Drosophila melanogaster: one gene and its partner. The protein of the gene in region 2 interacts with the protein of the main gene of each other region in a pairwise test. Each region holds a gene or a part of one and is shown on either strand. Other genes may lie near its edges.

Evidence for each region.
Region 1: the proteins of Ufd1 (region 2) and CG6873 interact in a two-hybrid assay, tested with the Drosophila melanogaster proteins (one large-scale study listed by BioGRID).

The regions. Positions count from the first base shown.
Region 1 is NC_004354.4:18,738,269-18,742,431, forward strand, and holds CG6873 (uncharacterized protein), read right to left. Parts: upstream 1,628-4,163; 5' UTR 1,457-1,627; coding exon 1,010-1,456; 3' UTR 948-1,009; downstream 1-947.
Region 2 is NT_037436.4:11,120,894-11,125,538, forward strand, and holds Ufd1 (ubiquitin fusion-degradation 1-like), read right to left. Parts: upstream 2,324-4,645; 5' UTR 2,156-2,323; coding exon 2,029-2,155; intron 1,972-2,028; coding exon 1,148-1,971; 3' UTR 1,089-1,147; downstream 1-1,088. Other genes in the region: mRpL2 (mitochondrial ribosomal protein L2), read left to right, coding at 48-513, 670-1,088.

The sequences.
Region 1 (4,163 bases), on a different chromosome or scaffold from region 2:
TTTCTGCCTCAAATGGGATGTCCTTGCTCAAAAAGAAATCTCTGTGTATCCCAAATATCCTAGTTGAATTTACATAATTACGAACCATAAACTTGTTAAATGGCTCAGATAGATTCCTTGGCAGTTCATAAAGGAATGTTAAAGTTAAATTAAGTGATAAGAATAGTTGGGGATCTATTTGTCCAAACAACAAATACACATCCCATCCTTGTTGCATGAAATTAGAATTTCATATTTGCATAAGCTCAATTCTAAGCAGTACTGAATAGAATATGTATATTTTCGTGGGCATCACTGCAAGGACGATGTCCTGCTGACAATGATGATAGCGGGAGATAGAAAGATGAAAACTCACATAATGGGTTATTCGCTATTCCAATTGAAATAACGAAATCAATACACGAATAGCAGCACATTCAATTCAGAGTCCTGTTTGAAGTGTAGCAATTGAGAATGGTGACGTGCTCCTCGTCAATTTGATTAATTCGCAGACTTTTGCCAAATGATATGGAAAGCCGCGGGGCCGGGATGGGGGCGTTTTTCAACTTGGCCGTGATTTATGGATGAGATAAAAAAGTCTGAATGCCAAAACTTTGCCCTCGCCAACCAGCCGCGCAACTCGGGCGAAAGTATTTTTAGTCGCGCGTTCTCAGGATAATGAGCGATGAAGGAAGCTGGGGACAAAACAAATTATAGCTGATACCCGTGGCAAGCTTCAAGAGGCATCCATATGCCAAATTGGCTCATTAGATGCCGGGCGAAATCAAATTAAATCGGGGCCCCTGGCAACGAAACACGAGAACGAGAATGAGTCGAGAGCGAGCCGTGGATGAGGATGTGGATGTGGACATGGATGTGGACATGGACATGGCGTCGATAGTGGACACTGGAGGCGCCACAAAAAAGAAAACCCGACACCAAAAGGCAATTTAAATCGACTGCCGACTAAATTATCCGTACTATATTTCAAAAGGGAGCAAAAGGAGCAGAAGTTGCAGGAGCAGCAGGACTACTCCCTGTCCAAGGAGCGCAGCTGCTCCTCGACAGCATTGCGGCACGCCTCCTCCGGTTCGGTGGCCTGAATGCACTTCTGGACGCCGGGAAACTCTCGCTTGAGCACCGCAAACGTGCTGGAGTAGAGCATCTTGTCCTTGATCCTGGCCAGAGTGGGACACCAGAGCATCAGGATTAGCTTCTCCTTCAGGCAGGTGGACAAGGTGCCCTGGCACTGGTGCTGATACTCATAGTCGTAGACAGCGAATCGGCACTGATTGGATCCGGCACGTTGCAGATCCGCCAGGAAGTCGTCGTAGTTCGCCTCCCTTACTCCAAGCACCTCCACCTTAATCTCCCGCTCGTCCTGGATGACGAAGACCGCGTAGCGATGTTGCTTCAGCTTCCGGATCTGCTCGAACACGTGCTGACACTCGCGGCTCAAATTAATTCCAGATGCCATGCTTGTTGATTCAGTGCAGCAGCCAAGATTTAGTCCACAGTTAACCTCCAGTCGGATCAATCGCAGTGCATTCCAGCGAGACTAGAAATTTTGAAACTTTGATTTATGTAGATATGTACGAAATCCAGGCGGAGACTTGCCAAATGCTTTACGCAGAGCCGACTGGATGCTCAAATTTCACACAGAGAGAAAAGTGAATGAAGAGTTGATTGAAAGGGTGTCATATCAATAAGGCGACAATACTTGTGAATATTGTTTATTTAAGTAGTCATGCTTTTTTAGAGCCCACCTTTATCTTTGAATTACAACGAATATGGTTGAAATGCAAGCTAGCTTAGATTTTACATTAATAGTTTAACAACGATGCGGATTTTTTTTTCACAGTGCAGCTGCAACTGGGCCATGAATATTTATGGCTTCAGCACCTTCTGCTCCAGAACCCACACTTTCCTGCAACCCAATCAAATAGTGATAAATTTAGAACTGTTTGTAAGCACTTTTGTCCATGCGAGGCAAAGGATGCCGCACATCCAGTGGATGCAACGCGTGTTTGTGCATGCAAATCTGCTAAATGCCGCTTGTGGCCCGAAACAATGTCCAGTTTGTGGATATGGGCTTGGCGTTACGAATATCGGATCTCTTTGTGGTTGAATTAATGCACCATTTTATTCCGAATGCCACAGCGACAGGATATATGTACATGTACACATTCGCACATATGCGTTTTGGCTAGCAAGTAGTTACGACATGCTGACTGACAGGAGCACAAAGGCGTTGGGCCGCAGGATGCAAGGATGCAAGGATGCAAGGATGCGAGGATGGCAGATTGAGGCAAGCTGCAGCTGGCTGCTTTCGGGGGGACTGGTCTTACCCAGTACCCATGACACGCCCGCTGGCAATGAGTATTAATGGTTTAAAGGGGCGCCCACTAGCTCAATGAATAAGGACATAAATGTCCATTAGTGCGGAAAATAACAAGAGTTGCCAGATTTATGTTAGAGCCAGATTCTTTCATAAGCCATTGTACTTTAAAATTAAATATGTCATTTGTTTGCCTTTGTTCAAACTTTAAAAGCAGACAATGGCCCATTTTCCCATCGATTGAGTTGGAAAATGTCACAGAGCTCGAGTCGAGTGCTGCGTTTGCCATGCACTTCATTTCCTAATTAATCTGCGGAATGGGCTTCGCGTTTTAACATTAAGGTCCTTGAGTTGCTCGTGACTCGTGGCACATGGACGTGGCATTCCGCCATGGTCGTGGTATTTCGCCATCAAATGAGTATCCATACTGAGTGAAAATGTATTTAACTTATCCACTTTAGCCCATAAAAAGCCGGCAAACTTCATTCCCATCGCATCCCATCCCATCCCATTCCACAACGCTGTCAAACGCTCGGCGCCACTTACAGACACTCGACAACTTCTGGGAATAGATAACTCGTACCACATAGACACTCCTCTAAGGACTCGAAAGGATCCCCGTTCTATGCGTTTTAAATTCAATGCGCTTTTGGCCCGGGCTCATGCATATTTAAGCTCTTTTGCCGTGTAATCAACATGTATGGCTTATACTTTTATGCCATTAAGAGCCTACCATCTCCTGGAGCGGGAAAATGGAGAGCGAGACAGAGAGAGAGAGAGAGAGAGTGTGTAAAACACTTTCTCATCGACAGAGAAAGTCCCCTTGGGGAGGTTGAGCTGTAAATTAAATATAAAATAACGTAAAATACACTTGAGGCAGCCGCAAAGTACACGGGAAGAACAACAAGTTATGGCCATGGTGGCACACTTTCTATACCAACACCCAACATACGTACACCCACTTTCTTCCGGAGCTTCAAAAGCCGCCCGGCGGCCATTGTTCAACGGAGATTTCGTTTTTATTACGCGTAAATGAAAGACATTTGTCGTTGAATGTCGACCAACTGGGGCGGGGCAAATGATGGAGGTTCGCCCTTCGCGGACGCAAACCACCCACCACCCACCCAACCGAGCACGCAGAGAAAAAGCACATAGTATATGTAATAGTTGGACTTTGTAAGAGGTTTCCAAGAAATATTCTACATTGGGCACTTTCAGAAATTCATAAGATAAACATTTAGCTGGAATAAATGCAATTCCCAGAACATGATAACCTTTCAATTTCGGGGAATTTATCATGTCATAATACAAACTAGATACATTTTAATTGAATTTTTCAAGTCATTTGAGATGCAAGATAAAGATGAACATAAGCTGCTAATAAATTTTAGTTTTTTTATATTTGTGAAGGTATCAAATAATGGATTGAAGTTGAGCTTAAGAAACATATATTATAGAAGTTTGTAATGTGACATTAACCTCTTAATTTCCCATAGAGGTGCTTAAAAGTATGCAACCGTATAAATGTTATCTTGCAGCCTTCTAATATACTTTTCTGTTAACTGTCTCACTGTTTAACCTGCATACATAAAAGTAATGATATTAAACAACCATTTGGGCCAACTTCTTTATTCCCTGTGTACACTGTGCATAAGTTTCCTGCTAAGCTGGGCGATAAAAATCGCTTTACGGCTGGCAGGCGTCGCTTTTGCCTCCATGATGAGGCAACGGACATTGTTGACCAACATGCGAATGATTAACAAGCAATCGAAGCAATCGCCAGGGAACTGAGGTCGTGACTCCGACACCTTCGCCCTCGTCCCCTTCCTCGCCCAGCGACCATCAC
Region 2 (4,645 bases):
TGCATATATTTTCGTTCTATTTAATTTTTCAAATAAAACTATCGAAAATGCAAAGTGTAACACGTTTGCTGAGCACAACGCTGACTATACAAACGCCGTTTCGCACGGCGCCGGCGTTTCTGCAGCAATTGCGCGGCAAAACCAAAGTGGTGGAGAAACCAAAACCTGGTGCCGGACAGCAATTCCGACGAACCGTGCACTTTCCGGAGAAGTACACCGTTGAGCCGCTGAAGATCACCCATTTGGCTGGTCGGGATCCCGTCTCCGGTCGCTTGGTGGCCAAGGGCATTGGCGGAGGCATCAAACAGCAGTATCGCTGGGTTAAATGGGTGCGGGATGGTCCCACGGAGGGCGCCCAGGAGGAACTGGTACTCGAGGTGCTACGCGATGGCTGTCGCACCGCCAAAGTGGCCCTGGTTGCCGTCGGCGATGAGCTGAAGTACATCCTGGCCACCGAGAACATGAAGGCTGGCGATATCCTCAAGACCTCGCGCTTTATTCCTAGGATTCCGGGTAAATTTACTTACTGTTACTCATCGGGAGTATTAAACGTTTTCTAAGTAATCCTCTGAGTATAGTCTTAAACTGAGCATGGAATCTAGAAATTTTACTGGCTCTGAAACAACCAGTTATGCCAATATAATTTTTTTTTTTTGTATGATCCCATAGTGCGTCCCAACGAAGGCGATGCCTATCCATTGGGCGCCTTGCCCGTGGGCACACGCATTCACTGTCTGGAGAAGAACCCCGGCCAGATGTGCCACCTGATCCATGCCGCCGGCACCTTCGGCACCATTCTGCGCAAGTTCGACGAAAAGGTGGTGGTGCAGCTGCCCTCGAAGCGGGAGTTCGCCTTCCAGCGCACCTGCATGGCGACGGTTGGTCGCCTGTCCAACCCGGAACACAACAAGGAGCATGTGGGCAGTGCCCAGCGGATGCGGGAGATGGGCAATCGACCACGTTCCGGTCTGTGGAAGCGCAAGGAAGGCAAACACGGACGCAAGATACGCCGATTGCCGCCCATGACCACCATATCGCCACCGGCTCCGCCCAAGGAGGAGGCCATCAAGTTGACGCTGCCCCTGTGAGGTTTTTCCTTTAATTTCTATGTGTCACACAATATATAACTAGAACTAGAGATACAGAGCTATTTGCGCGTTTTCTTCATCGAGAAACCGGTGCCGTGGAAGCTCTCCGCATCGGAAGCGTCCGCATTGCCAGCTACGGCATCATCTTCTTGGCTTCTATCACTGATAGGCCGAATGTTGCGATCGAAACGGATGAGTCCAAACTGGAAATCATAGTCTGGAACGCCGCGGGCTAGCACCTTCTTAACGACCGGCGTTTCCAACTGGCTTTCCTTCTTCTTCTTACCATCGAGACGTACGCCGGAACCCTTGAAGGTCTCCACGACCTCTTCGAGTATGGCGTTGGTGGCTCCAGCGATTTCGCCGCCAACAGTTCCAGCAGCACCCTGCTGCCCAGAGCCCGATGCCTGCGTTTCGGAGTGATCCTTGTAGCCGACTGGCGCCTCAAATTCCACATTCATGTCGCACTCAATGATGCTGACTGCATTGCCGGGCTTTGTCTCCAGGACACACAGTTCGTAGACCTTCTTGTTGTACTTAATGGCTATGACATCGCCCCTGGTGAGGCAGGCAAAGTTGCGCAATGCATTCTCCAGCACCGCCTTGGGATTGGTGATGTCCAGGAAGTCGGTGCTGTGCGGTTGAAACTTTGAGAAGGTGGCCACCGGCAGCGAGACACTCTCGATGTTGAGTATGTCGCCCTCACCCAACAGCAGGTTTTCCATCATCCAGTGGGGTAGATAGCATTTGCCCTCGTCGGCCACAAACTCGAGTACGCCGGCATGCGAGGATCGCGATTTCTTGACGTTGGTCAGCTTGAACAGCATTGGATACTCGACATTCAGGCGGGTGAGCGTGTCCAGCGCCGAGGGAGGCATAATAACTGTGGATGGAATGTGTTGTTCACATAATTTCTGTCCAGCCTACACTCGTAACTCACTCTTTCCGCCCTTTTCCACGTCGGTTCGCTCGTTTCCTGGCAACATGGATACGGAGAAGCACTTGTAGTTGGCATGAAAATTGCGTCCCTCCGGGAACATCATGTTGAAGCCGCTGAAGTGGAACATTCTATGTGTGCTGGGCTCTCCGTGCCTATGGATTCTTTTCGATTTAAACTGCCTCAAATGACCCTTTATTTCTCAAAGGGGGGAGGCTAAAATTTTATCTTTTGTTTTATTTTTTTTTCTATTTTGTTTGTCACGGCGGGGGCAGTGTGACCAGAACACCATGTAGACGTAACTTTTTCGCCCACAGGTGGCAGCACTGTGTGGGGTTGCGGCACAAGCTAAGTTGTGGCACGCATATTTCGCTAAAATCCCAAGCGCGTGGCGTACAACAAAAAGTAGCAACTCGAGCTATCGCAGTGGCGAGTTATCGGCACATCTCTAACAAACCCAGCAAGCCGGTGGTTGCGCGCGACTTCGTCCCGCTTAAAAAAAAATTGAATAGACGGGTATATTGATTCGAAAAAGTGCTGCTGATCAAGTGAGTACCCATTTCGGGGCAGCAGCTCCAACTGTTTCCGCTACTCAAAATTGGCTGTCAGCAGCTGCGGTTTGCTGGTCAACTGCACCACTCGATCCTGGCGAGCTTTTTTGTGCGCGCGTGTGTGTGTGTGTGTGCAGGATATGCTGCCTGTATCCTTTTAGTCTGGCTGGCGCCGCGTGTTTTTCGCGTGGGTGTGATAAAAAAAAAGTGTGTATGTCGATGCCCACATGATTGCCAATACTTTTTTCGAACCAAACACACTAAGCAAAAGACCGAAACGAGCAACAAATGCAAAATGTTCGAATAGAAAAATCAATAAGCTGGCCAATCGATTGGTTGGTTTGTTCAAAGGCGGGGTGGTGGCCAAGTGGCTGGAAAAAGTGTTCTCCAGCTTCCAGGTCGAAAGATCTTTTACGACATACAGAAATACAGCAAAATGTATTGTTTTTGCCAAGTACAGTTACATTTTAAATTTTGCAAAACAGTTTGACAGCCACCGTTTTCGTGTGCAGCTGTTTTCGAGTCTCTGTTGTGGTTGTTATTGTTGCTTCGCAGCTGCAGCCACACCAAAAACAAGAACAACAACAGAAACACCGAACAGAAGGTGAAAAGAGCGAGAGGATGCGCACTCTCCCGCTCTCTTGTCTCTTCTGGCAGCTTCCAGACACTCCCCTCGCCATCATGCTCCCCACTTTCTTCGCCTTTCTTTCGCTCTCGCCCTAACTTCCCCACAACAAAGAGCCCCACCCCCCTCTATTGTGAAATTTACCCATCTTTTGTCTTTGTCATGTAAAACGTATTAAAATCGAGAGAATATGAAATTCCAGTGACTCACAAGCTGGCTTCAAATAATGAAGCCTAACTTAAGGCGTCAGTTGCATCCTTGCAAATTTTTGTAAATTCATTTAATAAGCGCTCTATGGCCCAACATATTCCAGTTTCCAAAAGTTTTTACTTATAAGTGGACTCACAACGATTTCTGTTTTTGATTTTAAAGATAACCTCTTTTCGAGAATCAAAATGTTGTTTATATTGCACTTCCGCTAAAAACTTAGTTTACTTTCTGTGTAAACTTATCAAAATTATTTATAAATATTTCTGGGAAAATCCACTTTTCGTTATCATGACACTTGCTTACGCTTTGCAAAGCTAAAGAAATATTGTGAAATGAAATCGCCTGCTCTTTTGAAAATTCAAATTAGAATACAATCGTTTATAGCCAAGTCGCACTGTGATGAGCAAAGTACTAAGGGTAGAAGAAAAACTCCGGCATCTTGTTGTGTACGTACAGTTTTTGCGTCTGGGAACTAAATTTAACAAGCGCACAGCCAACGAAATGGAGCAGCTTTTCCGATAAGCATTTAAACTTTAAAATAGCCCAACGACACAAGCAGCAAAATTCCCAAAAATCTGTGTATACGCATGCTGCAGAATTTCGAAGAAAAAAAAACATTTCGTTTTTCGTAATTTCCGAACATCAGATCTTTGCGCTTACGTCAAGCAAAGAAATTATACATTTTTTGTTTTCAGCACAACGTGATATCACGGCGTGGATTTCGTTTTGGATTGCTCTGGGTCATGAATGAGTTGGTTTGGGTTCAAAGTGGGCGGTGGGTGGCAGCAACCCCGCAAGGTCATAGCGTGTACACACTCGGCGCCGCACGGAGTGAGTGTGAGTGCAAAGTGGACCGATTCCCATTCCGATTCAATGCATCTTTCGCTCGGATGGCACCTGGTCAAGTGTCTCTCAAACTAAAGTTCTGGATTTCCGTTCAGAAATTATAAGAAATGTCCCCTTTTCAACGAGATTCTATTCATGCAAGTGAGAACACCTGCTTATATAAATATCTTCAGAATTATAAAGAAACTTAGATAAACCACCTACCCCTTTGATTTATTTATCATGAGGTAGTTAGTACCCAATTAAACTATGTATAAATAGTTTAAAATAACTGCTTAGCTTTCAATATTATGTATTTTCAAGTGGCTTTCCTAGCTTTACCTACTTTTTACTACTGAAAATAGTAATTCAATCGATTTCAAGCAGTTCCCAGAAATATTCAATAGCC